Rhinolophus ferrumequinum: one gene and its partners. The protein of the gene in region 1 binds, or shares a complex with, the protein of each later gene. Links are inferred from orthologs where the notes say so. Each region holds a gene or a part of one and is shown in the gene's direction. Other genes may lie near its edges.

Evidence for each region.
Region 2: the proteins of SUMO1 (region 1) and DAXX are in contact, whole or in part, in an NMR structure (PDB 2KQS), measured with the Homo sapiens proteins. The link is inferred for Rhinolophus ferrumequinum from reciprocal best matches to the Homo sapiens genes SUMO1 and DAXX. Residues at the interface, in NP_001005781.1 of Homo sapiens: Lys17, Glu18, Tyr21, Ser32, Ile34, Phe36, Lys37, Val38, Lys39, Thr41, Thr42, His43, Lys46, Leu47, Ser50, Tyr51, Arg54, Gln55; in NP_001135441.1 of Homo sapiens: Glu731, Glu732, Ile733, Ile734, Val735, Leu736, Asp738, Ser739, Asp740.
Region 3: the proteins of SUMO1 (region 1) and SENP2 are in contact, whole or in part, in a crystal structure (PDB 1TGZ), measured with the Homo sapiens proteins. The link is inferred for Rhinolophus ferrumequinum from reciprocal best matches to the Homo sapiens genes SUMO1 and SENP2. Residues at the interface, in NP_001005781.1 of Homo sapiens: Asn60, Arg63, Leu65, Glu67, Gly68, Gln69, Arg70, Ala72, His75, Glu89, Tyr91, Gln92, Glu93, Gln94, Thr95, Gly96, Gly97; in NP_067640.2 of Homo sapiens: Asp386, Lys394, Leu395, Arg396, Trp410, Leu411, Asn412, Asp413, Glu414, Thr440, Phe441, Pro444, Lys445, Arg456, Trp457, His474, Val477, His478, Trp479, Met497, Gln542, Gly545, Ser546, Asp547, Cys548, Gly549.
Region 4: the proteins of SUMO1 (region 1) and PML are in contact, whole or in part, in a crystal structure (PDB 8DJI), measured with the Homo sapiens proteins. The link is inferred for Rhinolophus ferrumequinum from reciprocal best matches to the Homo sapiens genes SUMO1 and PML. Residues at the interface, in NP_001005781.1 of Homo sapiens: Gly19, Glu20, Tyr21, Ile22, Lys23, Ser32, Glu33, Ile34, His35, Phe36, Lys37, Val38, Lys39, Thr42, Lys46, Leu47, Ser50, Arg54, Glu84; in NP_150241.2 of Homo sapiens: Glu554, Arg555, Val556, Val557, Val558, Ile559, Ser560, Ser570, Ser571, Ser572, Arg573.

Annotation. Positions count from the first base shown.
Region 1 is NC_046291.1:29,338,307-29,346,308, forward strand, and holds the start of SUMO1 (small ubiquitin-related modifier 1), read left to right. Parts: upstream 1-4,988; 5' UTR 4,989-5,133; coding exon 5,134-5,145; intron 5,146-8,002. UniProt on the Homo sapiens protein: Ubiquitin-like protein that can be covalently attached to proteins as a monomer or a lysine-linked polymer.
Region 2 is NC_046286.1:3,663,010-3,669,996, reverse strand, and holds the start of DAXX (death domain-associated protein 6), read left to right. Parts: upstream 1-3,971; 5' UTR 3,972-4,100; coding exon 4,101-4,148; exon of another isoform or gene 4,149-4,157; intron 4,158-4,774; coding exon 4,775-4,779; intron 4,780-4,995; exon of another isoform or gene 4,996-5,047; coding exon of another isoform or gene 5,048-5,064; coding exon 5,065-5,251; intron 5,252-5,405; coding exon 5,406-6,237; intron 6,238-6,348; coding exon 6,349-6,563; intron 6,564-6,718; coding exon 6,719-6,947; intron 6,948-6,987. Other genes in the region: SMIM40 (small integral membrane protein 40), read left to right, coding at 768-1,010. UniProt on the Homo sapiens protein: Transcription corepressor known to repress transcriptional potential of several sumoylated transcription factors. Down-regulates basal and activated transcription.
Region 3 is NC_046285.1:59,833,720-59,841,129, reverse strand, and holds the start of SENP2 (sentrin-specific protease 2), read left to right. Parts: upstream 1-4,403; 5' UTR 4,404-4,616; coding exon 4,617-4,717; intron 4,718-6,349; coding exon 6,350-6,405; intron 6,406-7,410. UniProt on the Homo sapiens protein: Protease that catalyzes two essential functions in the SUMO pathway.
Region 4 is NC_046289.1:98,761,254-98,768,489, forward strand, and holds the start of PML (protein PML), read left to right. Parts: upstream 1-4,225; 5' UTR 4,226-4,371; coding exon 4,372-4,506; intron 4,507-6,188; coding exon 6,189-6,655; intron 6,656-7,236. Other genes in the region: STOML1 (stomatin-like protein 1), read right to left, coding at 55-161, 1,912-2,044.

The DNA of each region.
Region 1 (8,002 bases):
GCCACACCCTAGTTCTTCTTATTACCAAGAATTTCTCCACTTCTGAAACCTTGAATTCAAGCCACCCTTTTATTGCCATAACACACCTGAGGAATGTCAGACGCTTTGGTAATAACTGTGGTTTAATATGGCTGTGATCCTGAAGGTGAGAGGTGAGGAAGAAAGGAATAAACTACTGAAGGCATTCATCTGACTCTTAGAAGTTTGCTTAATTTGAAATCCCCACAGGTGATTTTGATGGATATACTACAAGTAGCATTGCTCTTGCTCTCTCTACCTGTGTCAAATCAATGAAGGAAGGGGAGTCAAGATCTCCTGGATTCAAATCCTGATTCCATCACTCATTTGAGTAAGTTCAATCTCTCTTGTCTCTGTTTTCTCATCTATAAGATGAAGATAGTTATTAGTACTCACTATATAGGATTAAGTGAAATAAGAAAGGTATAGCACTTGGAAGAGGGTCTGCCACTCAATAAATCTTAACAATTATCATCATCAACAACAATTATAGGCTAAAGACTTCCAAATCTCGTATCTTCAGCCCAGATTTCTCTTAGTGCTCCAAATTATATCAACTGCTTCTTGGACATCTTTCCTTGGATGATTCTGGGCATTGCACATTCATGTCTAAAACTAATCTTTTTGTTTTCTTTGCAAATCTATGGTCCTCATCTCCAAATTTTTCTATTAAATCTTAAAATAATATCACCATGTCAAGTGACTCAAATCAGATTCTAATCAACCACCAAAACCTGCTAATTGTATCATCTCTATTTCCATCTCTACTTCCATTGATCTAATTCCCTATTACTGTCTTTTTTTTCTGGACTACTACTACAGCTTCCTAACTTATTTCCCTCTCTTTTGTACACCACAAGCTGATATTATCACTTCCCCTGCTTAAAAACACTTAGTGCCTCCTACACCCCTCTACTTCCAACATTATGCCTTTCATGATTAAGTCCAAATTTCTTAATATAGTTTACTAGATTTTCAGTGAATGGGTTGTTACTTTCCTTCCCGGTATTTTTTTTTTCTACCTCCTACCTCACAAACCATGCTCCTACTGTACAGAACTTGTCGTGCTTGCTTCGTTCTCTCTTACCACTTCTCTAGGCCAGGAAATCTCTTTCCTCCCTTCCTCTAGCTCAAAATATGGTCTGTGGACTACTGGAGGACCTGAGACCTTTTCAGGGGCTCTTCAAAATCAAAACTATTTTCATAATAATATTAAGACATTTACTTTTTTCACTGTGTGAACATTACCATCGATAGTGTAAATCAGTGGTTTGTAAAACTGCTGGCATCTTAGCAGGAGTCAAGACAGTGATACTGTGCTAGTATCCATTTTGTTCCTCACTGTGATGCGCTTGGAGAAAAAAACTAGTGTCACCTATGAATGTCCTGGATAAAACAGTGAAAAATTAATTATGGTAGGCTGAATAATGGCCTCCCAAAGATGTCTACTTCCTAATCGCCAAAACTTGTGAATATGTTACCTTACGTGGCAAAAGGAACTTTGCATACTTGTATGTGATTAAGGATCTTGAGATGGTGTGGTTATCCCGGATTATTTGGGAAGTTCAATGTAATTACAAGACTTCTTATAAGAGGGAGACAGGGTCAGAATCAGAGAAGATGTGACAACAGAAGCTGAGGAGGGGGAGAAGGGAGAGGTAGAGAAGAAAGGGAGGAGAGAAGAGAAGGGAAAGATGAGGGAGAGGAAGGGGAGGAAAAGTACACAAGTGAGAATTATAAGCTGATTTAGCCACTTAAAAAATCTAACATCATTTTTATGTGACAGAATAAATGACAGGTTAATAGTTGTTATTCAGATTTGGAAATACTGCAGACGATTTCTTAAAAATGAATAAATGAGCTTAACACTTAAAGAAAATAACTGACAGTATTTGTTGTCAATGACAAAATTTGAGCTTTTATGCAAAAATTAGTATTTTGGAGAATTTGTATTCATCACTGTGAGTTTGGCAGTTTCCCAAGATTTAAAGACTTTTTCTGATGAGTCTGTGAAAATAATGAATATGATTTTTAGATATTGTATAATGAAATGTGTCGACATTTAGGAGATCTGTATAACTCAGCGAAGCAATGTTTTCTAAATGACAAATCCATTATGTTACAAAATTACATATGAGTATAATATCTACCCAAAGTGTAAGGTAGACCACTGATTTTTTTAATGTAAAAGAACTCAGAAAGGTCATTGACATGGTTTCAAGTTCCACATTTCAATTAAGAAACTACCACTTGTCGAGTTTAGGTGTGGTATCAAAGAAAATATTCAACTATCTGAACAAGCTATTATACCCATCCTTCCCCCTCCTCCAATTACATATCTGTATGAGACTGAATTTCCTTTACATAAACAAATTGCAACAAATATGGCAACAATTGAATGAAGAAGTAGCTATAAACTATCTTGCTGTCTTCTATCAAGCCAGGGCTTAAAATAATTAAAGACATTTGTAAAAATGAAAAACACTGCCACTCTCTCACTAGTTTTTTTTTTTAAATTTAGAAAACATGGTCATTTTTCATACAAATATGTTATTTGTGCCCATCAAGGGCTTATTGTTTTTCAACAAATTAATACATATTTAAAATTTTTTTCTCGGTTTTAATTTCTAATATGTTAAATATTGGTGGAAATGACATGAACAAAAGTTCTTCGAGGTCTTCCGTAATTTTTAAAAGTTTAAAGCAGTTCTGGGACCAAACTGTTTAGGAATTGCTGCTGTAGCTGATGTAAACTTACCCTTTGGATTTCAATTTAGGTTTTATTTTATTTCTTTGGAAGATTTTCACAGTCATCCTGGTTGGATGTAAATGTCCTACCTGTTCCCTTAATAATACTTTACTTATTATTAGCTGCTGTCTTAGGGCCATTGTATCTTATTTTTGTTTTTTTATATAACAATTTTCTTGAGATATAATTAACATATCATAGAGTTTCCTATTTAAAATGTACAATTTTCAGTTTTTTACCAGTTTCCCAGAGCTGTGCAACCATCATCACAATGTATTTGAGCATTTACAGCATTTTCATCACTTCCAAAAGAAAACCTGTATCACTTCCCATTTCCCCCTAATTTTCCAGCCCTAGTTGAAGTCTGGAGCAGTAGTCTACTAATCTATTTTCTGTCTCTATAGCTTTGCCTATTCTGGACATGTCATATTAATGGAATCATACTTTATGACTGGCTACTTTCACTTAGCATAATATCTTCTAGTTTCATCCATATTGTATGAGTACTTCATTCCTTTTTATGGCCTAATGGTATTCCATTGTATGGGTACATTACTTTTGTTTTCCATTAATCAGTTGATGGACATTTATTTGGGTTATTTCTACATTTTTTGCTATTATGAATAATGTTTCTGTGAATATTTGAGTACATGTTTTTGTGTGGACATGTGTCATCAATTCTGTTGGGTGTATATATATATATAGGAATAGAATTGCTGGATCATGGTAACTTTATATTTAACAGTTTGAGGAACTGCCAGAATGTTTTTCAAAGCATTTTATAGTCCCACTAAGTAGTGTATGAGGGTTATAATTTTTCTATATCTTTGTCAACACTTCTTATTATCATCTGTCCTTTAAATTATAGATATCCTAGTGTGTGTGAAGCGTTATTTCATTGTGGCTTTAATTTGCATTTCCTTGATTGCTGATGATATTGAGCATCTCCATTTGCCCATTTGTATCTCCTTTGAAGAAATGTCTATTTAGATTTTTTGGGTCTATTTTTAAGTTGGATTATTTGTCGTTTTATTATTGAATTGTAATAGTTCTTAGTTCTTTATATAGTTTGAGTATTAACCCTTATAGATATATTTGCAAATATCTTCTCCCTTTTTTTAGGTTGTCTCTTGAACACAAAAGACAAAAGTTTTTTACTTCAATGAAGTCCAATTTATTTTCGTTTGGTTGGTTGTGCTTTTGGTATCATATACAAGAAGCCACCCCCTAATCCAAGGTCAAGAAGATTTATGCCTGTTTTCTCCTAAGAGTTTTAGCTCTTACATTTAGGCCTTGATCCATTCTAAGTTAATTTTTCATATGTTCTAAGGTAGTGATCCAAATTCATTATTTTGCACGTGGATATTCAGTTGTCCCAACAACATATGTTGAAAGACTTCTTTCACCATTTAATTCTTGGTATTCTTGTCGAAAATTATTGATGTGTGAGGGCTTACTGATTTACTTCTGAAACTATTCTATTTCATTTGTCTACATCCTTATTCTCTATGCATTTGTCAGTAGGGCCATTGTATTTTAAAGAAGAAATCATAGGGGGATCATTCCTTAACTCAAAGCAACGAATTCAAGAGTCAGAATTAGCTACTGCTCCCCAACAGTTTAGAACTTTCAGCAGCCATCAAGTAGCCATCAGTAGCCATCAAGATCGTGTCCAATGGGATCCTTGTTTTGTTTTGTTTTGCCTCCGGCCCCCCAATCAAGGTCATGTGACCGCGTGGTGTGTGTGTGTGTGTGTGTGTGTGTGTGTGTGTGTGTGTGTGTGTGAGAGAGAGAGAGAGAGAGAGAGAGAGAGAGAGAGAGAGAGAGAGAGAGAGAGAGAGAGAGCGCTAAATCAAAAATGTTAGCTCGAGGGTAAGAAGCACTGGTATTCAATCCAATTTCTTTCGGGAGGTTGACGAGCAAGGCCAGGAGACAATAGAAGTTTCTTGGTTCAGCCTTCAGAAACGCGCAAGGTGTCGGAGAGGGAGGAGTCTGGGCTGTCAGTACTGTCCCAAACATTGATACTGGGGACGGGGAACTTTTCCTCTGGTCTCGGGATTGAGGTGCCTGGTCTTCGATGGAGCAGACGAGAAGGTTGTTAATTCGCTCGCGCGACCACCAGTCAAGCAGCTGATCTAGCACCGAGCCCCCCGTGTCGGTGTAGCCCCCACCCGTTTTCCCGCCTCGCCTCTTTTCCCTATCCCTGCTCCCAGCGCGTAGCGGAAGTGACGCAAGCAGTAGCGGAAGTCCCTCCAGCCGCGGTGTTGTGCTGTGGGGAAGAGAGACGGATTTGTAAACCCCGGAGCGAGGTTCTGCGTGCCCGAGGCCGCTGCTGTGCGGAGACCCCGGGGGAAGCCACCGTCACTATGTCTGACCAGGTACCGGGCCGGCGGCCGTCCGATGGCGGTGACTGGGGCCTTCCTCGGCAGGTCCGCCTGCCGCTGGGCTGGAGCCAGGGATGGAGGCGCGGGGGAGGGGAGCGCAGAATGGGGGAGGGGGCGGCCGGTGGGGACTCGGCGGGCGAGAGAGGGGAGTGGACTAGGGCCGGAGACGGCGGGGCCTGCCGCGGGCCTCCGGGAGCCGTCCTGCCCCTCTCCGGGCTCGCTCATCACCCTCTGCCACAGCGTCTCTGGTCGCGGCCTCCCGCAGGTCGTCCCCCTTGCAGAGCCCAGCTTCCACCTCCCGGGGAGGGTGGGTCCCCGGGGAACCTGTCTGCCTCCCTCCCAGAGGACTGGTTGCCGAAGCAGGGCTCTAGGCCCCAGTTATGTAACGGGAGAGAGTCTGCCCGGGAGGCTTCGTGGCCCTGAAAAGCGCCTGGACTCCACTTTTTGGTTCTCGGGTTTTGGGTAGCCCTGGAGTAGGGACGTTGGGGCGGGGAGGGGAGGGAGACATTGTCTGGTGTTGCTGGGAACCTAGAAAGCACTGCTTTCCGTTCGGATTGCGGCGGGGGCCGGGCCGCCGCGGCTCTTTTCTGAGTCTTTTTCCGTGTGGGGGTGCAGAGCTGTCGCCTCTTTTCTTGTACTTTTCCATTTCTTACTCGGGATTGGTTCAGCAACTCTCCATTTGTAAGGGAGCACTCAGAATAACCAAGAAACAAAGTAGAACAAAACCGCTCGAGCAACAGAAAACATTTCCCCTGGGCATTAACCTGGAGATGACTGATACTTTTGAGGAAAAGGATAGGAATACTGTATATACTCGTGTATATACTCGTAGAGCCGTTGCAGGACATTTGCAGAAAGCTGCCTGTTACGGCAAAGTGCTCCGTCTTAATGTTAATATCAATGATTTACTTGGGATTTGTACTTAAATCAGGAGCGTTCGATTTTCCGTGGTAAGTTTTTCATATTTTCCTAGTTAACCACGTTTTACGGCTAGTTTTTAATTAATAAGGTTTTTGTCTGGTCTTTTGTTTGCTCAGACGACTTTGACTTTTCAAAGTATTTTTAGACCTTTGCTTGTTTAGTGATAGTTATCTAGAAAACTTTCAGTCAACTCCCTAATGTACTTGAACTTAAAAATTTAACACACTTATATTCTCTTGGCATTTAACCCGGGTCAGTTTTCTTTCTACAGCTTGGTGAGAGCGAGTTCGGCTTTTGTGGATTTGTACTAGTGTGCAAAATGTACATAAAAAATTTTAAAGTTTAACCATAATCTAGATTAGTTTTGGGGATCTTATTACTAACGGTCTAGGTTAATTCCCAAGTTGGTATGGGAATGGCCGTTATAAGTATCTACCTAGATAGTTGTTTACTTGGTTACCAGGGAGTAAATGAACAGGTGTAAATGCTTAGTTTTCATCAGCCTTTTATTTTGATGCTCAGAAGTGACTAGGAAGCATGTTGAAATTTACTATAGTGTGATGAAAGAGTAATGTACAGAAAGAATTATAAAGTAAATTGTAGAGTTTATTGCTCCAGTTTGAATTCTGGTCATTTAGAAAGACATGAAGGAAGAAATAAAGGACCTAAGACACTAACAGGTGGTTTTAGGCCAGAGGTTCTTTAGATTCTTTTTTAGGGGGCCTCAAAATTATTTTCATGATAATACTAGGACATTGTTGGTCTTTTTCATTCTGGTTCTTTCATGAGTGTTCAGTGGAGTTTTCTAAAGACTAACGTGACCTGTGATATCACAACAGATTGAAATGTAGAAGGAGATGTGAAAAGCCAACTGCTTTCTATTAAGCCAGACATTAAAGAGATTTGCAAAAATGAGGAACAGTGCCACTCTTCTCATTAGTTTTGTTCTGAAAACTTTTTAATAAAACTGTTATTTGCTGATATATGAAGGGTTTGTTATTTTTAAATGAATTAATCTTTAAAACATTTCTCAGTTTCAATGTCTAATACTATAAACCTCAATAGATATAACCAACCTGACAAAAATTTTATGGGGAGGGGGGTCTAAATAATTTCTAAGAGCATAAAGAAGTCCTGAGACCAAAAAGTTTGAGAATTGTTCTAGTCTGATAGACCAGCATCATTAACAATTGGGACCCAGTACAATTTCATGTTGGGTGCTAAGAATTTAAAGAGGTATAAAGTTGAACTCTTACCTTTAAGAGGCTTATGAACGGGAGTAAGAATCCCAAGTTACCACTGTGCAATATCAGCAGCATGAGTCTGAACCAGTGCCCCCAAAAGACAATCTTTATTTAAACAAAGTTTTGTTAGAATGTCTTTTCTGAGGCACCTTTCAGGAGGTTATTGTCTGGTGCTAAGATACTGAAATTGAGTAATAATTTCAGGTTAAAATAGGGGGGCATTAAATTCATAGAAGACTTAAATTGCTGGGTTCTCCATTGATTAAAGAATATTATATTTGGAATTTGAGTGAAACACTTTTTTGCAATTCTAACAATCCAGCATTGTCCAGTGGATTTGTGGACCATTAAAAAATAATCATCTCAAACATTTTAAACCCAAGTTTCGTGGACCTAAAGGGCTGAAAATTCACTGAAATTGTTATGGAGTGTTTTGTGAGTATTTGTGCATATGTTTTTTCCTTTCTTTTTTTACGGGAGAAAGGGCCCATAACTTTCATCAGGGATACATGATCCCTCAAAAAGTTAAGGAGACCCCAGGATATTCAGACTTATGGCAGCTCAGGGCCCACAGAGAGAGTGACGTGAGTTGTTCCCAGAGAACCCCAGGTGGAAACCTCAAGCCTTCTAGGACCTAGCCTTGAAAGTCACTTCTGCCTTCTTAGGCAAATCACTAAGGCCAGCCC
Region 2 (6,987 bases), on another chromosome or scaffold:
CATAAGGGCTTTGATTTCCCTCACATACCTTCAGGCCAGTGCCTGGGGAACAGGGTCAAGAAAAAGCTTTCACCCCTTGCTCTAAGACAATCTCTTGGAGGACATTTCTCAGCAACTCTCAGACCAGGACCTCCCACAGAAAAATCTCACTCTTCATTATTATTGCCCCAACAGTTAAATCTCAATCATAAACCCTTGCCCCACTGACCAATCATGGTGTTTCTCTCTCTCTCTCTCTCTCTCTTTTTTTTAATAAACCTCCCCTTCCTTGGGTTCTTGCAGCTGCTTGTCCCCCACCAGCCTTGGTTAAGAGAGTCCCGCCCCCACCCCAATTACCCACTGTAAAGCTGGAATGGCCTTTAGATCTTTGACTGACAGCAGCTCACAGTAGCATACTAGGTCCACTTGTTCATGCTCTATCTGTGGTGGCCCAAGCCCTTGAGCCTTGAGCCTAGAGACCCAGAATGACTTGGGCAGCTCCAGCTTCATGTCTGTATGTTGGGCCTTCAGTTTCCAAAACAAAATTATAATGCTGGACAGACTTTAGGAATTATTTTGTCCAGTCCATTCACATTGCATTGGATAATTACATGATTGTTCCAAAAGCTCAGAAGCTCTACTCTCCTTTCTCTCTCGGGTGGGGGAATTAGGGTCAAACCAGGCAGGTGAAGGACTTGCCCCACCACGCCCCTTAATCCTGGCATTGCTGAGCAAGGGCTTCCAGCCTAGCCTCCCTGATCCAGCCAGCTGTCAGACTGTAGGTTACAATGGCAGAGGAGGAGGGTGACATGGATGAGGACGATGTGTTCCTGGCTTTTGCCCAGGGTCCTCCTCCTTCCAGGGGTCCCCTACGTCGGGCCTTAGACAAGGCCTTCTTTATCTTCCTGGCCTTCTTTCTGACACTACTACTGCTGGAGGCTCTTTATAAGCTGCTGTGGCCACTACCATGGGCAAAGTTTGGGCACTGGCTCTTGAGGTCACCTCAGAAAGAGGAGGAACTCGAATTGTGACCACCTTTCCTATAAACATCCTCTTACTCTGCCACAGAGGTGAGAGGGGAGGTGGGGGAAATGGGACTGTTGGGGGCTGTGGAGGGGACACCTAGAGAGGTTAGAGCAGCTGTCTTAAAATTTCGTCACCTATACTCTAGGAAATAATTTTGAACAGGTTTATACTCCTCAGGTTTATATTTCTCAGTAAGCATCTAAAAATTTTCATCATAATTAAAAATTGTTTCAAGGATGTAATTCCTGGCATATTGAAAATATTTACATTTTAAAATAAAACATTTAATCACTCTTTTGAATGTCCAGAAGAACTGAAATATCAGAGTGATTTGATACCTACTATCATCCATTTAAAAATACATAAATAAGCTCTTAACAATTGGGAATCATTCCTTTTCTCTTTTCTCCTTGAACTCCCATTACCATTCCCCTTCCCCAGAGACAATTTTATGCTTTTATACTTAAAAGTCTGAGATGAAAAATATTTTTCTTTCTTATGATCAAAACTCGTTTTTCCCCCTCTTCCTCCACTTTCCCAGCCCCATTCCAGTTCAAGCCGCTGTTTCTCAGTGTAGTTGTGTAGGACAGAGCTCCCTGGCCCATGCTGCTATTATGAACCTTGCGCTCCCCCGGCTGAGGCAGTGGATCGCCAGTCCTCAGTTGGCTGCTCACAGCAGCTCATGGCAGACCTCGCCGGCTGGCTGCCAGCCACTCCTGGCAACACTGCTGGCCAGCGCCTGGCAGCACACGGTAGCCCACCGCTGCTCATGGCAGCTTACGTCAACCTCTGGGTGCTCACAGCTGCCCAGCTCCAGGGAGAGCTGTTTTTCACAATCTTAGCTGTAGAGGGCGCAGCTCATTGGCCCATGTGGGAATCCACCGGCCACCTGAACTGTTGACCTGAGCACTAGAAGGACCAGTGCTCCAACCACCCGAGCCACCGGGCTGGGCCTGCCCAAAACTCTAGTTTTTAAAAAAATTTCTTCAGGGTTATCATTACAATTATTATGAGAGCAGAACCGATCAAATGGCATGAAGATTGTACACATTTTTATAATTGTTAAAAAATTTTTAAATGTTTTTAATGAGATAGACGAGGTGGTGTTTATGGTGCCTTAATGAAAGAAGTTGGCTACATAGCTCTTTATTTGACACTAGGTAAGACTGTCTCCAGATTTCAGGGTTGAAAACTATACTTTTTTTTTTTTTTTAAGAGGGAGAAAGTCTACTGTAAAAGGGTAAAGGAAGAAAAAGAACCTCTAGGGCCGGCCTGGTGGGTCAGGCGGTTGGAGCTCTGTGTTCCTAAAGCCCAGGCTGCCAGTTCAATTCCCACATGGGCCAGTGGACTCTCAACCACAAAGTTGCCAGTTGGACTCCTGCAAGGGATGATGGGCTGCGCCCCCTGCAACTAACAATAGCAACTGGACCTGGAGCTGAACTGCGCCCTCCACAACTAAGACTGAAAGGACAACAACTTGACTTGGAAAAAATCCTGAAAGTACACACTGTTCCCCAATAAAGTCCTGTTCCCCAATAAAATCTTAAAATGAAAAAGAAAAGAAAAGAAAGAAAAAGAAAAAGAACCTCTATTGTAGGTATTTATTCAGGAGAAATTTTGGGAAAGCTGAGGATCTGGAAATTAAATCTCTAACATCTCCCAAGTCCAAGTGCTCTTTGGGGAGTTTTCATTTTCCCCAGTTTGAAGACTGTAGGTTTAGACGACTGGAAAGAAGAGATGTGAGATTAATGGAAGGGAGCGTTTGAGGTTCTGGGACTCTGAGGCTTGGACGTGTAGGGACCGCGGAGATCCTAGAAAGTGATAAGATGCTCACCACTTGTGGAATGCTCAAGGATGTAGAGGGGAGCAACTCAGCCATTGGAACAGTCTTAGCCTCTCCGGTTTCCCCCAGAAGCTCACCTTTGGACCCAGCCTTGCCTCCATGAGTCCCTCCAGCCTCCCTAAAAGTGGGCGAGGTGGGATGCGGGTGAGGCGGGCGTCAAAGTCTGTGTCTTCTCTGTTCGTTCTTTCCTCAGCTCTCCCAGAGAAAGAAGAGGAGACGAGACCCGCGGTATTTTCCGAGCCTCATTTCATCTTACAGCCCTTACAGTGGCAATTCGCAGAGATTCTTCTTAACTCCCTTCCGCCTCCCCATATCGCCACTCCTTAGGCCCCGAAGCTCCCGGACAAAGCACGTCTTCTGGGTCATGACTACCTGAGCCTCAGGGACCCCCTTCAGAAAAGTACGGAGAATCACGTAGGTGCCACCTGCTTGGTTGGTAATTAGTCTGTGGTGAAGCTTGAAAAGCAAAACAACAATCGTAATAATAACAATAACACATTGTGTGGGGCGTTGTAATTATTTGTGTGCAAGTGTTTTGATGTCACGAACACCTGGATTCAAAACACTTGGAGACGCCAGGATGTAAGAAGCTGCTGGACAGCGGCAAGGGAGTGCGCAGCCCAAAGACGGGAAGGGGCAAGCGCCGTGGAGTAAGCCGTGGAGACGGGTACCTGGCAGGTAGGAAAGCAACGCGGGAAGGCTGGTCAATAGCCCATCGAAAGGAAAAGGTTTTATTTCCCTCGTGAGAGGTTTCCGCCCTTTCGTGCACCAGTGCGTAGCCTTGGAGGGCCCAATTCCTCAGCGGCCGTTTTCCGTTCCCCCCTTCCCTACTTGGAAAGGTGGCTCAGTCCTCCCGGCACGCGCCTAGCCGGCGGTTGGGCGGGAGGCAGGAAGTTTCTGATTCGCGGAGTCGCAGAAGCGCTGGGTGGAAAGACATCCACTGGCGGAGCTCTGGAGTCGGGGCTGAGTCAACGCCGTACGGCAAAATGACGGCCCCCAGGTACTTAGGGAAGCGCCGCGGGGATAAGCTCGCCTCCTACAGGTCGGGCGGAAGGGAGCCGCATACAATGTAGGAAGCTCCAGAAACGTTCGGGGATCGGACCTATTGTCACTTCCGGCCACAGGGGGAGGTGGGGGGGGGACTGGGTTCCGTACGAGAATATGGCGCTTAGGTTACTGGAGGCGGAAACTCTGCGGCTTCCGGTCCAGCATCGGGCCTGCGGTGGGAGGGGGAAGGAAGGCGGAGGTAACCATGCGAGCTTCTGATATCTGCGGTGAGAGTCGTTTGGAGAGGCCGTTTGTTTCTGAGGTGGGGCCCGGACTGTGCGGGGGTCGAAGGTGGGGGTGGGGATGTCGAGGGAGAGGTGTTGGGGAGTCCCGGGCGCTGAGTCTGAGGGGCAAGCTTTCTTTCCTATCCCTGAAGGGGAGTGGGGCGGGTGGGGCCTGAACTGGGGGAGGGGGACTTGGCGGGAAGCTCATCTAGGGGAAGAGGCCGGACTTAGGCTTGGGATCCGAGAGGAATCGGGCGAGCCCAGTGCGGGGCTCACGAGCGGTTACAGGTCACCGAGAGTATGAGGAAAATTAGGGTGGGGTGAGAGGGAAGGGTCTTGAGGTGAAATACCTCCAACCTGACTCCCCGGTTTGAGACCCTTCGGCGGGTGGAATCTGAGATACATTACAAGGGGTGAATGTATGGTTGAGAGGGAACCTTCTTCGCCTCAGAGTCTAGAAGTTGGGGAGATCCTTCAGGATGGGGTGAGGGTGTGGGTTTGACGTGTTTGAGAGCCAATGGTGGCGCTGACGGGTGTAGCACCTGTGCGAGGTGAAATCTGGAGTGCAGTGTGGGAGGTGGTGGCCCGGAGGCTGGGAGGAAAAGGCAGTTTGCCAACTAAGACAAATAGTGGAGAATGGAAACTGAAAGACCAGATGTCGTGGATATGGGGAGTGGAGCTGGGGTGGGGACTTGAGGTCGCAGGTGGTTTGGGGCCCCAGAAAACATGGTGCTAATGGTTGCTGAAGACAGGCAGTGAGGACACTGTTGGGCAGGGCTGGGTGTTACTGAAACCCAAGAACACTGAAAAATGTGTGAGCTGAAGGGATGGGGCTATGCTGGAGGGGCTCTTTCTAAGGCCCCCGTCCCCTTCCAGCAGGAAATACGAAATCCCCAACACTTCCTCCCTCCGGGGGATTTGATCCCCCATGGCTACCGCTAACAGCATCATTGTGCTGGATGATGATGACGAAGATGAAGCTGCTCAGCCAGGGCCCTCTCACCCACCCCCCAATCCGGCCTCACCCCAGGCAGAAGCCCCTGGCTCCTCCCAGCCCCATGGGGCTGGAGGAAGCAGTAGTTCGGGCGGCAAGAAATGCTACAAGTTGGAGAATGAGAAGCTGTTTGAAGAGGTGAGCTTTAGGGGAGAAGATTCTTGTACCCCAGGGAGGGGGTGGCTCACTGGCTCTCCTGTCCTTTTTTCCCCCACTAATCCCGCCATGCCTTCTTTCTCTCAACCCCCTCCCTTGTCTCTTTCCCCCTCCCTTCTTCCCCTGAACCCTCCAGTTCCTTGAACTGTGTAAGGCGCAGACAGCAGACCACCCTGACGTGGTCCCGTTCCTTTGTAAACGGCAGCAGCGTGCCCACTCTCTGTTTTTGGCCTCAGCGGAGTTTTACAACATCCTCTCTCGGGTCCTGTCTCGGGCCCAGAGCAGGCCAGCTAAGCTCTATGTCCACATTAACGAGCTCTGCACTGTTCTCAAGGCTCACTCAGCCAAGAAAAAGCTGAACCTGGCCCCTGCTGCCACCACCTCTGGCGAGCCCTCTGGGAGTAACCCTCCCACAGACACCTCCACGGATGCCACAAATGCCGAGGCCACTGGCTCTGAGGCCCCAAGGACCCGTGGTTCCCGGCGGCAGATCCAGCGTTTGGAGCAACTGCTAGCAATCTATGTGGCAGAGATTCAGAGGCTGCAGGAAAAAGAGCTGGATCTCAAAGAATTGGATGACCCAGACTCCACATACTTGCAGGAGGCAAGGTTGAAACGGAAGCTAATCCGACTCTTTGGGCGGCTGTGTGAACTGAAAGACTGCTCTTCACTGACAGGCCGGGTCATAGAGCAGCGCATTCCCTACCGTGGGACTCGCTACCCAGAGGTTAACAGGCGCATCGAACGGCTCATCAACAAGCCGGGGCCTGATGCCTTCCCTGACTATGGAGATGTGTTGCGGGCTGTAGAGAAGGCAGCTGCCCGCCACAGCCTTGGCCTCCCCCGACAGCAGCTCCAGCTCATGGCTCAGGATGCTTTCCGAGACGTGGGCGTCAGGTTACAGGAGCGACGCCACCTTGATCTCATCTACAACTTTGGCTGTCACCTCACAGATGACTATACACCAGGTAGGGATTAGTGATGCCCATCAATAACCCTTGTGTATATCAGGTGTGTGGTAGAGGGGGCATCTCTCTAGTCCCTTCTTCTAGGGTTTGACTTCATATCTTTCCACATAGGCGTTGACCCCGCACTGTCAGATCCTGCCCTAGCCCGGCGCCTGCGGGAAAACCGGAGCTTAGCTATGAGCCGGCTGGATGAAGTCATCTCCAAATATGCGATGATGCAAGACAAGAGTGAGGAGGGCGAGAGACAGAAGAGAAGAGCCCGGCTCCCCCAAGCCACCTCTTCCCATTCTGTGGACCCCCCCAAAGGCTCCTTGGATTCTGGTGAGGTATGGAAGGGATCTACCCTTCAGAGACACCTTGTCCTTCCCCTGCACTGGCCAGCAGGGACTCCACGGTGACCCATGGGGGAGTGTGCGGAAGGAACACAGAACCAGACCCTCTGGGGCAAGGGATTCATTAGAGAAAGTCCTTTGTCCCCCAGGGCCCTAGTGGAATGGCATCCCAGGAGTGCCCTACCACCTTCAAGGTTGAGACCGAGGACGAAGATGAGGAAAGTGATGAAGAAGAGGAGGAGGAGGAAGAGGAGGAGGAGGAGGAGGAGGAGGAGGAGGAGGAGGAAGAGGTCACAGATTCTGAAGAGGAGGAGGACTTGGAACAGACGCAGGAAGGTCAGGGGGATGAAGAGGAGGAGGAGGAAGAGGAGGAAGCAGGTATGACAAGGAAAATCTCACTGCTAGTTCCATCTACTCT
Region 3 (7,410 bases), on another chromosome or scaffold:
GAAGCAAAGTGCTTTTACTTACTAAAAGTTCTAAAAATAAAATCAATAAAAATTTCAGGGCAATGTCCAATATTTAATGTCCATCGGTAAGGCGTATTTTAGATTTATTTGGATCTTAAGTTAGTGTTTCAAAATGTTGTTATTAGAATGGAATTTGTTTTTACTTTTACTTAGTTGGTTTCCTAAGCCTTGGTCAGGAGAATTCTGCACCTTCGTCAGACAACCCTTTCCTGGAGCATGCACACAGAGTTGTCTGTGCGAGGAGCAAATCTATGGACAAATCCACCCCTATAATTTGGAAGGTCTATTGTTGTGACTTCTGCCTTGGGCTCCCATTTGGAAACATCGTGAACCACTTGAGGGTGAAGGGGACCAAAAGTTTTCCCTTTTGGGATATTGAGTTTTAATCTGCTTATTAAGAAATGACTCAGAAAATAAAAAAAAAAGAAATGACTCAGAAAGAAACTTTGACCCTCCATCTTCTCCTGCCTAAGAGATTCAGAGGGAAAGACCCACTCCAGTAAGGAAGTCATAGGATGTTCCCCTTAGCAGCCTAATTTAAATTGAGTGTGGTGGATGGGAAGGTGTAAAACAGGGGCTGTTTACTAGATTATCCCATCTCATTGTTTCTGGATTGCCTAGCAAACATTTACCTGCCTTGTATGTTCCACTCTTCCTCAACTACCTGTGACTCATGCATTCGCACTTTTGAAATCTCAGACGCTACTCACTCTTTTTATCCTTTGTCCAAAATGACATATATACCTAATCTCACCTCACTGTCTTTGGAATTTGAATGTTTCTGTGAATTCCCCATGTACGTGTATTAAAAATTTAATTTTCTTCTGTTAATCTGTCTCTGGTTATTTGATTATTAGCCCAGCTAGAAAAATTTAGAAAGTGGGAGGGAAGTATTATTTTTTCAACCCCTACAAGGGGTTCCTGCTGTCTAAATCAGCAGGGTCTTTCTCATCTGGTGGCATCCTTCTCTTCTGGTTGCACCTCTGTGTTGGCTGGTCACCAAGATAACTGCCTCTCTCTTTTCATAGTACTCCCTAGGGCTATCCAAAGTAAATTTTAGGGTCGCCCCATATTTAAGTCAGACCACTCCCCAAACCTTCTAGAATTTGGTGGAAATCACCCCAGTCAATTTTAGTGATTCAGTAACAGAAACCAGAAATTTAATTTATAAATTTACTTTTCTTACTGAATAAGAACAACAATATAAATTTGCCTTCCTTAACAACAACAAAAGGCAACAAAACAACAACAACAACAAAAAGGATGAAAAAAGAGAGATCACTCTGAAAATAGCACAGAAGAGGGACTGGGTAGAAAAGGAGGTAACTATTGCAATGGTGTGGGAAATAACCAGGCCCTGAATGATAGCATTCCTTTGGCTTTGGAGAAGGGAAGGAAGGGAGCAGGTCTGTGGGAAATGTAGGATGCAGAACCGGCAAGTTAAATGATTTATTAGATATGAGAAGTAAGGAGGGGGAAGGAAACATGAAGAATTTAGCTATGCTGGGCCTTCACATATGTAAACACATTTCATCAGCCCATAAATCTGAGAGGCAGGTTTGATTAACTCTATTTTACAGATTAGGAAACTAGTTTAGGTAGGGTCTGGTGCTATTATTTCTCCTCACGAGGCAGGCCAAGCCACTTGTAGTCAATGTGAGCATATTTTATAATAAAATCTAGGACAAGAAAAACTGCACTTGCTTTTGGATAATAAGGCCAAGGTTATTATTAGATTGAATAAGATCAAAATTATGTTATTAGGAGGACACATTTTTCTTGAGTAGCAAAGAAGTTGGTCTCCAGAAGAAAACGAATCTTCAGGGTGGTGAATGATGTTAGATTTTAGGTATGTTAAGATGAAACCAAGAACATCTCACTTGTGGCCTCCTTCCCACTTCCATCAAATGGCTCGGAACTCTATTCAGGGGTCAGCCAAAACAAAGTTGAAAGGAAATCTTTTAACACTCTGAGGAAAATGGTAAAGTGAAAACTTGTAAGACTAAAGAATGGATTGGAGAACTGGGTCTTCATTGTTCTGTGGAGGGGAGGTACCAGTTAGAGGAAGAGGGGCTGGGCCTTGGAAAGGCTTGAAAGAGAGGATCTAACCTAGAAACAGACAGACGTCTTTTCAGAAAACTGGGGCAACCATTTAAGATACCTACTGAAAACTTAAGCGATGAGCTTGTGGCCCTGTGGTGGTACAAGGATGCAAGTTATCCAAACCAGGGGCAGAAATATCAATGTCCTTGTTACTTCATTTGGCTTTGGGATTCAACTCTGGCCCCCGGTGGGGTTTCTGGGTCCGGGAATGGCTGTGGCAGTGGTGGGGTTAAGGATAATCCCACTTTTTGACCAATGGATGGGCAGTGCCTGATGCCTCTACTGTGGATGACAGGGCAGCGAAGGCATCAATGGGCAGACAGGTCCCAGGCAGGAGCGACCGTAAGGCTGAGTCCCCTTCTTTTCTCCATTTCAGAGGTCAACTGGAGACAGTAGAACGACACAAAACGAGTGCAAGTATTCAGGGGGTGGGGGTGGCGGCTGACACACTCATGAGTTACTATTTGCTGATGAGGCCCAGGTATTTAGACTGAGGTCTGTAATTCCAAAGCCCTCCCACTTTTAATGGTGGGTGATTGACATGTCAGTATTGGGTATGTGCAGGTGCTATAGCTGAGGTAGGAAAAGAAAAAATGAAACATGTGGTGTCGTACTAGAGTACTTTGAGACTTGATGCTAATATTTCTTAAATCTCGGTGGTCAGAACCTGGGAGTTGATATTCTACAGCAGCTTATAGTTTTATGATTTATTTTTTGAATGGAGACTGCTTTTGTGTTTTGGGGACTCTTTTCCCAATACTTGAGTGATGTTCTTGGTTTGGCAAAAGCAAGGACCAGCTCTCATAATGGAGTGGACAGTTGGGACACAGCAGAATTGCTCTGCATAGTAATATCAATGTTAGTCTTAGATTAACAGAATCACCTGAAATGGGTTGGGTTAGAGGTGGAGGGGGATTCTTTTGTTGAGAAGAGTGTAGCGATGACCTGGGGTGGGGGAGCCAGGGAAGAGTCCTTTTGGGAAGCAATGGGCTATAGATGCTATACTTAAAATAGCCACTTCTAAATCTTATTTGAGGCTTTGCAATTCCCCTATTACAGTATTCCCAAACTTCCAGTAACATCCTGGTGTTGGCTGTGCTTTGGGGAATTAAGAGAGGGGCTATGTCCACATTTAGGATTTGTTTCCACCCTCTAGGAACTGCCTGCCCCCACACCCACGCCCGAAGCCAGAGTGGTGGTAGCCATAGGTGGGTAGCTGGTGGTTTTGGAGCTCTAGGGGATGGCTTGCAGCAGAATTCTGGAACATTGCTGTACTGGAGAGTGCCTATGTTGAAGTTTAAGCAAATCTGGAAGTCTGGCCTTAATTTAATCATAAGTAAGGATCAAGTGCAGTCAAGGACGGATTTGTGGGGCATGAAAATCTTTGAATATTCCCAGAATTGTTTGGGAGTGGGACGGGATTTTCTATCAGTAAGTAGGGTAGGACTTTTTCTGTTGTTGATAATTAACCAGAAATGTGACTTCTAGATACCAGAAATGTGATGAAGGTATCTGTGGCTTACTTGTACCTACTAGTCTCCCCCTGGGCTGGCAACACTCCCTGCCAGCCCACAGGGAGACTAGTAGGTAGTAGTGAGCCACAGGTACCTTTTCATTCTTAAGCTTCTGTAAAGCCATCCTGGAGTTCTGCCCTTCCCTTCCCTCAGCGTGTGGGTTTCTTTTCTCGGGCTCCTACTGCACTTTGTACACACCTTTATCACAGCAGCCAGTTATCTCGTAATTTGTCTCTGTCAGTAGATCTTAAGGGAGGGATTGGCGCTGGTTCTCAGATCCCGGTTCAAATTCCAGCTATGGCACTAGCTAGCTTAGTGACATTAATCAAATAACGTAATCGCTCTATGCCTCGATTTCCTTATTTATTAAAAATGGGACAAGACTCTCTCCATTGCTTGCGGTTGGGAGAAACGAAGGTGACAATGAATGTCAAGTGCAAGGCAGAAGCAAAATAAAGGGCTCCTCGTATAGTAAACATTTGTTAATTAACCTAACTTACTTTTATTTTGTGTACTTAAACATTTACTGTATTTCAGTCCCGGGGCGCTCCCTCCCAGGAGGAGAAGCTTCACGTGTAGCCTGTGGGCCTTGTCCCGCGGGCCGGCTCAGGATTGGGTCCGCCGAAAAGAAAACCCCGCCCACAGCCCTTTCGCTCTCGTCCAGGATTGGACCACTACCGTCCTGCCGGCATTCTGGTTGCTAGGTTCGGAAGTGGGGGGCGTGTTAAGTTGCGCGTGCGCAGGTTGAGGAGGAAGGTGCTTTCCGGTCGGGTAGGAGGAGGTGACGTCAAGAACGGTTGCTCGCGGGAGCCTCCGGTAGCCCTGGGGACGTTGTATCTGTGGGCCTTCGGATCGCGTCACAAGTCGGCGACTGAACCTTAGCTGTGGTGGCTGAGGCGGCGAAGGCGGCAGCGGCGGCGACAGCTCTGGGGTTTGTGTCTCGGGGTGTGTCGGCCGCCGCTGCTGCTTGGGCCTGGTATGTACAAATGGCTGGTTAGGATCCTCGGCACCATTTTCCGCTTCTGTGACCGGCCGGTGCCCCCTGCCCGGGCCCCCCTGAAGAGGCGGCGCTCGAACAGGTGAGAGGAGAGGGGGCTGAGTGCGGGCCTGTGTGCCCCCCTCCCCCACCCCGGGCTCGGCCGCGATGGCGCTGAGCCAGCCGGGCAGGCCCCGCTCGGCCGAAACGCGTCACTGGGCCGAGGCGGCAGGCGTGCGGGTCGCGGGTTGCCTGGTGACGTAGTCGCTTCCTCCACCCTGTGTGGATGCGGCTCTTCCTGATGGAAAGAGCTAGTTGCCTTCGGAGCGGCCGGTGATGGTTAGGATCTTGGATATTCTTGTCCGAGTCCACGCTGTTTCCTGTCATCGAATGGGTATCATTTGTTGCCGCTCTTAGATTGCAACCGAAAAATGTGTTTTGGCTCACTGTTTACAAAGCACCCTCCCAAGTGTCATCTGTGGGCAATGAGTGCAGTTGAGATTGATATCTTGCCCAAAGCCGTTTGACTGCAAGTACTGTTCCCTTAGCACCGAAACAGCAGCTGTCTTGTTCTGAAACAGCTGTCAAACTGTGTGTGTGTGTGTGTGTGTGTGTGTGTGTGTGTGTTGGGAGAGAGGGAGGGAGAGTGGTTCTGTGCTTTAGAATTAGGGTATGAGAAAAAAAATAGGCACCTAATTCTTTTAAAAACATCACTAGTCTGTACTCTAAAATTCGGTTAAAATTTGGGGCAAACTAAAAGCTCTTCTTACTTAGCATGTACCCATTGGCTTGTCCCATTTCATAGTGAATACCCCCTTGCCTAGAATTAATCTAGAGAATAAAATATCATACCAATTCTATACACCTCCCAACTTTTAGTGATCAAGTGTTAATTTCATTATTTTACTAAACCTCCCTATCAGGGAAAGGTGGGTGTTTGCAGTTTGAGAGAATAAGATAATTAATACACGGGTCTGAGAATGCAGGTCATTGATGAAATTGACTGTTGGCTAAATTCCATTATGTGTTCCCAAGAGGGTAAGGTTTCAACTTGTTCTTCCTTTCCACCTTTCTGTAGGGTTGATATAAGGATCATTTGAGAACATGTTGTAAAGTGCCTAGAATGATGCTTAATACTATATATGAGAAGGGTAGTTGTTTATTCTACCCTGAGGGCCTCCTGCAAAGGTTGGTGTATGATAGGCACTTGGTACATATTTACAGGCACTTGGTACATATTCACTGAATAAGGGAATGTTAATTTGTTCTGCCCTGTTCTCTTTTTGCTACAAATCCCTGCTAGTCAGGGAGACAGTAGTTTGGAGGTAAAAAAAATCCTGTTCTTTACCACACATCATTGATCTAAAAACAATGCTTCTCAGTGTGAGCCATTTTTCCAGTCAAAATGAAGCCAGGAGTTCTCGTTGGGATGTTCAAAATAATGAACTCAGTGGTATTCTCCTGGGATTTATTCTGTTCACTTTTTTTGGTAAATATCATCAGTTGTAATCATCTTTAGAAAGGTGATTAGTAGTGTACCATGACCCTTTAACATTGTAGAAGTATAGGTCCAATAACTTTCTGAATTTTTAAATTCTTTATTACCACTGTAACATAGTTTCCATGTGAAAAAAATGCAGTTAAATATAACAGCTTTTCTGGTTAACTGTTAAGGCTTCTTATACGCGTATATATGCATTTATATATATATATATTTTTTTTCTCTTTTTTTTAGCACTGTGTTTTCTACAGTGGACACTGATGAGATACCAGCCAAAAGACCAAGACTAGGTATTGAATATTAATTTTAAAAATTCATTTTTTTTAGTAGGAAAAGTATATGCCTGGAATAAAATTTAAAAGGTAAAAAGTATATGCAATGAAAAGTCTTTCCTGTCCATTTTCTGCTCAGTTATCTTTTCTGGAGGTAACCATTGTTACCAGGGAATTAAGTATCTTTTCAGATAGATAAGCCTATATGTAGAACATACATTTTAAAATTCTTAATCTTCCTATAAAGAAAAGGTGGTTTTTAAATTTGAGGAGAAGACATTGTAAAAACTACTTCAAACAGAGTCACCCAGTCAAACAGCTGAATGAACCAATCTAATATGTTGCCTCAGATTGTTTACTTCCCTATAATCTGAAGGGCTAGACATAGCTTGGTAGAAGAGAATCAAATTAGATTAACGGGAAAAGGAATACAATGGAATACTATAATAATATTCTTTCTCAGAAATGCATGTGAATTTAGATTTACCTCTAGATGTGGTCATTAAGAGTGAACAAATCTGTATTAAGATTTCATTTAAATCCAATGAGTACTTACTGAGTGTCCTTATTGCTAAGTAGTGTCTTAGGTTCTACAGGAAATAGAAAAATGAGTAAGACAAGATCTCTATATTATTAAAGACCTTATAATTATAGGGGTATATGATTATCTGGGGGGGATATAAGACAAGCACATAAATAATACCAATGTCAGTGAGGATATAAAAATGAAATAAGAAAAGTTGTAACAAAATACTGTCCAATTTTCAGCTGGTTAAGAGTTTCAGTGAATATTTGAAGGAGCTAGTATGTAAGACGGGTCTTGAAGGATGAATAGGATATCAACAGAGAACAATAGGAAGGAAAAACTTTCTAGGTAGAGGGAATAGTATTGGAAAATTATGCAATTCAGGAAATAATGAACAGAACTCAGGAAAAAAATTGGCAAAAGAGAGGTCAGATTATGGAGGATTTTGAATGTCAGGAATATCCAAATTCATTAGGACAGTATTTTCCGAAGTATAG
Region 4 (7,236 bases), on another chromosome or scaffold:
GCCAAAGCTCTCAGTGAGACCCAGCCACTCTGAGGCCAACCCAATCATCCTCACCTTCAGGGCAAACCAGCCGGAAATGGGGAAGGTGATCAGCAGCAGCAAGAACCCCAGGAAACTGATGAAACCGTGGCAGATGCAGGAAGGCCAGGTCTGAGGAGCATCTAGGGAAAGAGAACAGGCAGGCAAGGGGTGCCAACTGCAGGCAGAGTGAACGTAGTCAAATGTACCTTTCGACCTCCTCCCACTTCAGCAGCTCCTTCTTTCTCAGGGCTCTCGATCTGCCTCCTTGCCTAATATTCCCATATCTTTGTGCAAGTCCCACCCTCACAAGGCTATTCTCTTCTGGGCAACAGCCACTGGATCTGAGAAGCCAAACCACGTAATGCTCTCCTCACTGGGCAGACAGAACGTAAGTCAGTCTTGTTGTCTGATTTATACTGCCTTCCCATACATGGCACAAAGCCAGGCGCATCTGGGCATCTGTAAACACCAGCTGAGTTGAACTGACTGCTGTTGCATAACTCATCCCTCTTCTACCATCAGTCCCAGAAGTGTGCTTTCAAGGAGTCCTTTTGCAGATAATGCCTTAGCCCAAAGGGATAAAGCATTAATGACTCACCAATAGGAGCCATAGGTGAGGGCTAAGATGTTCTTTCTTAGCTCACATTCTTCAGTCCATTTTAATGCCCTAAGGACCATCAAATGAATGCTTCACTTAAAGAGCTTCAGGTGGGAGATGGGGGAGGGGCAAACTAGAAAGAGGAGGCTCATTTGAGCCCAGGGTGTTGGCCCCTGAAGAGGAGCCCAGGATGAGTGAAGCTGAGGCAGCCTCAGAATCTGGGATGAGGTTATCTGCTCTGCTTTCCTCCCTGCCCTGGACGGGAAGCAGACTGGAGCCTCTGCTCCATCTTCCCAGGAACCGCACACCCTCAGGGCTCTCCGAACCCCAGGATACTGTCTCCTTTCCTGCCTGGCCCTGATCCACGTGTCCCCTGCAGGAAAGGAACCCTTGGATGGGGCAGCTGTCATTACAGGAGGGCCCGGGAGGGACCAAATCCTCCACGGCTTGGTGTGAGGCTGAGGAATGTGGGATCTGGAATGTGGAACTCAGGCTTTGAAGCAAGACAGGGCCAGAGCAGACCCACAGACCACTAGGGGCCTTTTTGGCTAGTGCATCTCCACCAGGAAACAGGGAGATGTTCAAGCTCAGGGTGTCTAGTCTAGAGGTGTCCTGGGGGTGAAGATTCTGCCATTTCTCTGCAGCCAAGTGCCCTTCGTGTGCGGATGACCTTCTATGGCTAGACCTTGGTTTCTTTCTAGTCAAAACGGCAACTTGAAACCTATGCCCAGGTTTCCTCCTCTTCAGAAAGGGAGGGTTGTCTGCATTCCTGGGGTCCCTCAGGAGTCCTCGCCTCCTCCTGCATGTTTCCGCTGAGCCTTAGAAAAGGTGCATGAGGGGAAATTGGCGTTGCAGGGGTTTTTTCAGGAGCTGAATCCTCTCCAGAATCAAGGAAATGACATCAGCACTCCCTCTCCAAACTCACGAACTGGGGTAGGTGTGTACGCGGGTGCTGGTAGGGCAGGCGTGCTTATCTAGAATTACGGTTTCTCCAGGGCGCGGTCAGCAAATTATTCTCCTTTGTGTGCCCACAGCCCAGCAAGCAGAGCTGATAAGAGCGGAGGAGGAACGAGGTGGCACGAGCCTTCCTAGACGATAAGAGCTCCGCAGCTGCAGCCCCACAGCCCCAGACAGGGCCGCGCAACGCCAGCATCCAGCGCCCAGTGCCGGCCCGTCTCGCTCCCTCCTCTTAGAGTGCGAGCGCTAGAGCAGCCGACTCCTGACAGGCAGCGAGTTCGCGCTGGGGATGCCGGCGGTCCCCCCGGGGTCCGCAGTGCTGGGCGGCCACTCACCAGCTTCCGTCTGCACGCCGCCGGGCTCCGGGAACAAGCAGCCCTTCTGCGAGCCCAGGAAGCCTAAGCTCGACTGCTGGAAGCGGTCGAAGTCCCCCAACGGCAGCGGCCGGTACCCAGACCTGGCGAGCATGACTCCTGACGGGACACACCCCCACTCAAAGAGCGCGGCCCGACCTGCCAGCCCCTGCGCCGCCCCCCTGCGGCCCCCGCTTCCGGGTTTCCGTGCCCCGCCGGCGCGCAGCAAGAGGAGGCTGGCCCGCTAGGCTCCGGTCGTCGCACAGCGCCACCTGCTCTAGGAGGACCGAACTGCGGCGGCGGGGCGGGACGGTGAGCTGCGTTCCTGGGAGCCCGCAGGAGTCCTCGCCTTCTCCTGCATGTTCCGCCTGGGCCTTAGAAAAGGAGCATGAGAGGAACTTGGCTTTGTAAGGGGTTTTTCAGGAGCCGAATCCTCTCCAGGATCAAGGAAATGGTACCAGTCTTCTCAGCACTCCCTCTCCAAACTCACATACTGGGTTGGGTGTGTGTATGTGTGTGTTGGGAGGGGAGGGGTACTTATCCAGAATTACAGTATCTCCAGGGCATGGTCAGCAAATTATTGCACTTTGTGTGCCCACTGCCCAGCAAACAGGTACTGGCACAGAGTGGATCTCAGTACTTGTTGACCAGGTTACTGTGGTCAAGGTGGGGCGGGAGGGCCTGAACTTGGGCACAAAAAGAGAGACATTTCATGTGCAGACCTCAGGGAGCACGGTGGAGTAAGGAGTGGAGGGTTAGCACAGAGCTACCACGTGGCAGGCCCTCCAGAGCATCTCAGACGTGGGATCCTCAGTCCTGCAGGTCTCGAAATAGCACATCCCTTGTTCCAGGTACCCAGAGGTAATGTGACTCTCCACGCCTGAGCAAACCCAAATGCAAATTGCGGATTTAATCTGAGAAGCATTAACTTCCAATAGGGCATTGAGGCAGGCTGTCTTTCAAAAGAGTGAAGAAATTAATAAAGCTTTCCTTGTCTCGGGCACATGCCAGTCTGCCTACTCATGCCTCTCAGTCCCCCAGCCATAGCCCAGTTCCAGGTCCCTTCTGCAGATGGCTGCTCACCATCTTTGGCTTTTCCTAGTTTGATGGCCTGATTCGAAAGCCCTAGGAGTACTGATCAGGTTGGAGGTTAGGGCCGGCTCCTGGGGCCTCACACAGTCCCGGGGAACTTGGGTTTCCCCCCATTTCTCCTCCACACACCTTCATAAACTTTTACAAGAGCAGTGCCCTATCACCATCCCTTCAAGCCTGTTCCAAGCTGTAACTGAGCACAGAATGGGTACCCAAGAGCCAGCACAGCGGTTGGGATGATTTGAAGTTTGAAGTCAGGGGCACTGGCCCAGTGAGGCCGCCTGGAGCTGTGCAGTCTCCCCTCACCAGGTGGGGGTCTGGCATGCATCTCTGCTGGCCAATAGCTAACTTGCTCTCTCCTCACTCTTCATACCCATTCACCAGCTCTCCCCCTCCCCCTATTCCCCACTGCCTCAGATACACCAGCCTTTCCAACTGTCACGCAAGGCATCACCCTGTCCTCCTCATCTCCACTCGTGTCCTTCCAGTGTCTCTGACTCAGATCCCTCCTTGCATCGCACAGCCACTGTCCTAGACCAGGCCACCTGCCCCTAGGTTGTCTGAGTGACCTTTACAACATGCACAACAAACACATCACGCTGTACCTGGATTCCAACCTGACTCTATCGCCTATAAAACTGGTCCATCTACTTAGCTTTGATTTTGCGCCAGCCCACTCCTGGGCCGATATAGCTCTTGGGTCCCCTCTTAAATCAGAAAAAAACCCAAACTACTTTCTAAACAGGCTCTCCTGTTGCAAACCTCCATGCCTTTGCATATGCTGTTCGCTCTGTTTAAAGTGTCTCCCCAATCTCTGAATCCCTGGTGAATTCCCACCGTTTCAAGTCCCAGCTGAGGAATCTCCTTTCCAGCCAGTCTCAATACAGTGTGAAAAATCTCCGTTTGAGGGCCTGCCCTTTCACTAGATCTGGGGTTCCTCCAAAGCAGGAGTCACGTGTGGCTCATCTCTGTGTCCCCCGACTTCCAGCGGAGGGCTGGCACAAAGCTGTACCACTGTGAACTGATGGAAGGTTCAAAGCGGAGGGCAAGGGATGCCTCCCCCAGGTTGGCTGGGCCATCGTCCGGATCATACCCCCAGGTCAGTTGTGCGTCTCCTCTCCGCCTTCCTCCTCACCGCCCTGGGCGTGTCTTCGAAACCCCCAGTCGGCTTCTCCGCCCCTTGAACCGCCCCCAGCTCGTGTGTCACTTCCTCCCGGGAGGCTGGCGGTGAGTCGGCACCACCACTTTCGGACAGCTCCGGAGACTCAGCCATTTGGCGCACGAGTCTCGTTCAGCCTCTTTTCCCGCCCCTTGAGATCAAATCCGAGAATCGAAACTGCGCTGAGATCTATGCCCCAGGAGCTGGCACCCGCCCGATCATCCGGGCCCCAGCAGGACCCCGCACTGCCCCACACGTCCACCATGCCTCCCCCGGAGCCCCTGTCCGCAGGCCAGCAGCGCAGCCCCGGCCACAGCCCCACAGAGGTACTGCTGGGTTTGGGGAGATGGGGTTTCGGCTCTGTTGATTTGCAATGGTGGGAGAGATGAGAAGGCAGAGGGAACTTGGCCACGTACACAGAGGGAAAACCAGATGCCAGGGTCCTGACCCACTTGGCTCGATTAGGGGTAGGGGAGAGTAGAAAAGGGAACGAGGGGATGAGTTAAGGGAGCCACTCTGGGCTGCGATTCTCCACCGAGCAGTGCCACCTGGGACCGGACACTTCCGCCTGCGCGCCGCCGACTTGCCTCTTTGCCCTTGCTGTGACCAAGGCCGGCAGGTTAGGAGAATGGAGGTAGTAGCCCTAAAGTCCCCGCCTGGAGCCAGGGTCATGTTCCACGTGTGGGGGTTAAAAAACAACAACAACAAAAAAAACACCCAATCCCAGCTCAGAATGGGAAACCGTGGCCCGGACAAGAGAGCTGTATCAGCTAAGGCCTCCCAGCTCCTGTGGTTTCTCCCCTAGGAAGCCTTCCAGATCCTTCTCTGGGAACACTCTACTCGCCTAACCCCTATCACCAAGAGGGGTTTATTAGGCTTTCCTCCTGTAAGCTTTTGCCTTAATCTTCTTCCGGACAAACCCCAGCCTTACATACCCGAAGGAACTACTTAGACACAAGCTCGATGTTCTTCCAGACCCGTTTGAAAGCACAGATTGCAGTAATTCGTATTATTTGCATAATTACAACTAGGGATAGTATTGCTTAACATTACTAGTTAACATTTATGAGCACTTTTCAGGTGCCAGGTACTGTAGTAAGCACTTTTTTGCATTTTTTAAATTGTGGTAAAATAAACACAACATAAGATCTGCCATTTTAACCATTTCTAAGTGTATGATTCAGTGGTATTAAGTACATTAACCATGTGTAACCGTCTCCACTGTATATTTCTGGGGTTTTTTTCAAATAGAAACTCCGTACCCCTTAACACCTTCCTCTCCCGTTTCTCCAGCCCCTGGTAATCTCTAATCTACTTTCGGTCTCTGAATTTGCCTACTCTAGATAATTTCTTATAAGTGGATTCATATAATATTTGTCCTTTTGTTATTTAGCATAATGACCTGAAGGTTCATCCATGTCGTAGCAATGTCAGAATGTCCTTCCATTTTAAGTCTGAATAATATTCCATTGCATGTATATGCCACATTTGCTTATCCATTCATCTGTTGATGGACGTTTGGGTTGTTTCCACCTTCTGGCTGTTGTGAATAATGCTGCTATTTATGTGGGTGTACAAGGATCTGTTTGGGTCAGTGTTTTCAGTTCTTTTGGGTGTATATCTAGGAGTGGAATTGTTGGCTCATATGGTTGATCTCTGTTTAACTTTGAAGAACCACCTAACTGTTAAGCACTTTATGTGAGGTTGATACTTAATGTATCTTCTTTCTAAACTGAATTCCATGAAGACAAATATATCTTTGTATCTCAGGGCCTAGTACTTTGTCTGATGGAAAGTAGATACTTAATAGATTGCGGAATGAGAGTGAGAAGGCCTAAGTAAATGGGAAACTGGGGTGCTGATAAACCTGGGTTTTGCATCATCCTATGACTGCCTGGACTGGAATGTGAAATCCCATTCCAGCCTCCAGCCTTTGGGGCAGGTATTGGGTGGTTGAGGATTCCTGGGACCTCAGGCCTCATCCTCCTCCCCTCTGGTCCCCCCTCAGCAAGCCACGGAGGAGGACTTCCAGTTCCTGCGCTGCCAGGGCTGCCAGGCAGAAGCCAAGTGCCCTAAGCTGCTGCCTTGTCTGCACACGCTGTGCTCAGGATGCCTGGAAGTGCCCAGCATGCAGTGCCCTATCTGTAAGGCGCCCCAACTCGCAGGCACTCTCGGGCCGGCCCTGGATAACGTCTTCTTCGAGAGTCTGCAGCGGCGCCTGTCGGTATACCGGCAGATCGCTAATGCACAGGCCGTTTGCACCCGCTGCAGAGAGTCAGCCGACTTCTGGTGCTTCGAGTGCGAGCAGCTCCTCTGCGCCAAGTGCTTCGAGGCGCACCAGTGGTTCCTCAAGCACGAGGCCCGGCCCCTGGCAGAGCTCCGCAGCCAGTCGGTGTGCGAGTTCCTAGACAGCACGCGCAAGTCCAACAACATCTTCTGCTCCAACCCCACCCACCGCACCCCTGAGCTGACGAGGTGAGTCAGTGGGCGGGCTGCGGTGGGGGGGCCGCATCCAAGAGCCGGGGAGAGGGTGCGGGGAGCAGAGATCCAGGGTCATAAAGCTGAGAACGTGGGATAAGGAGCTTGCAGGGTCTCGCAACAAGCAACATCTCTGACGATGTGCACAATTTATGCTCTCCGACCTGAGTGGATAGTAAGAGTTTATGATTTTCCACTCTAATAAATAATGCTGCCGAACCATCTTTGCACCTTATTCGGTAATTCCTTTAGGATCAATTTTTAGAAATGCCATTGCTAGGTTAAGGGGTATGAAAATTTTACATTGTTACATGTTACCAAACTGCCCTTCCGAAAATCTTAATAGTGGAATTCTCCGTAAGTGCTGCTGTGGGATCTCCCTCCGTATAGCTCCGTTTGATTCTAGTGGGATAAAATGCAAGTAGTTAGTTTCTGCTGAAAAGTCACAGTTGTAATACCGTGCTATCTGGGAATGTAGGTATGGCGGTTATTATTTTTATTAAACAGCACAAGATTTTAATTCCTTTTTTGATAAAGACTACAATTAAGTGTTTAAAAAAAATTAGGAACAAAATTTA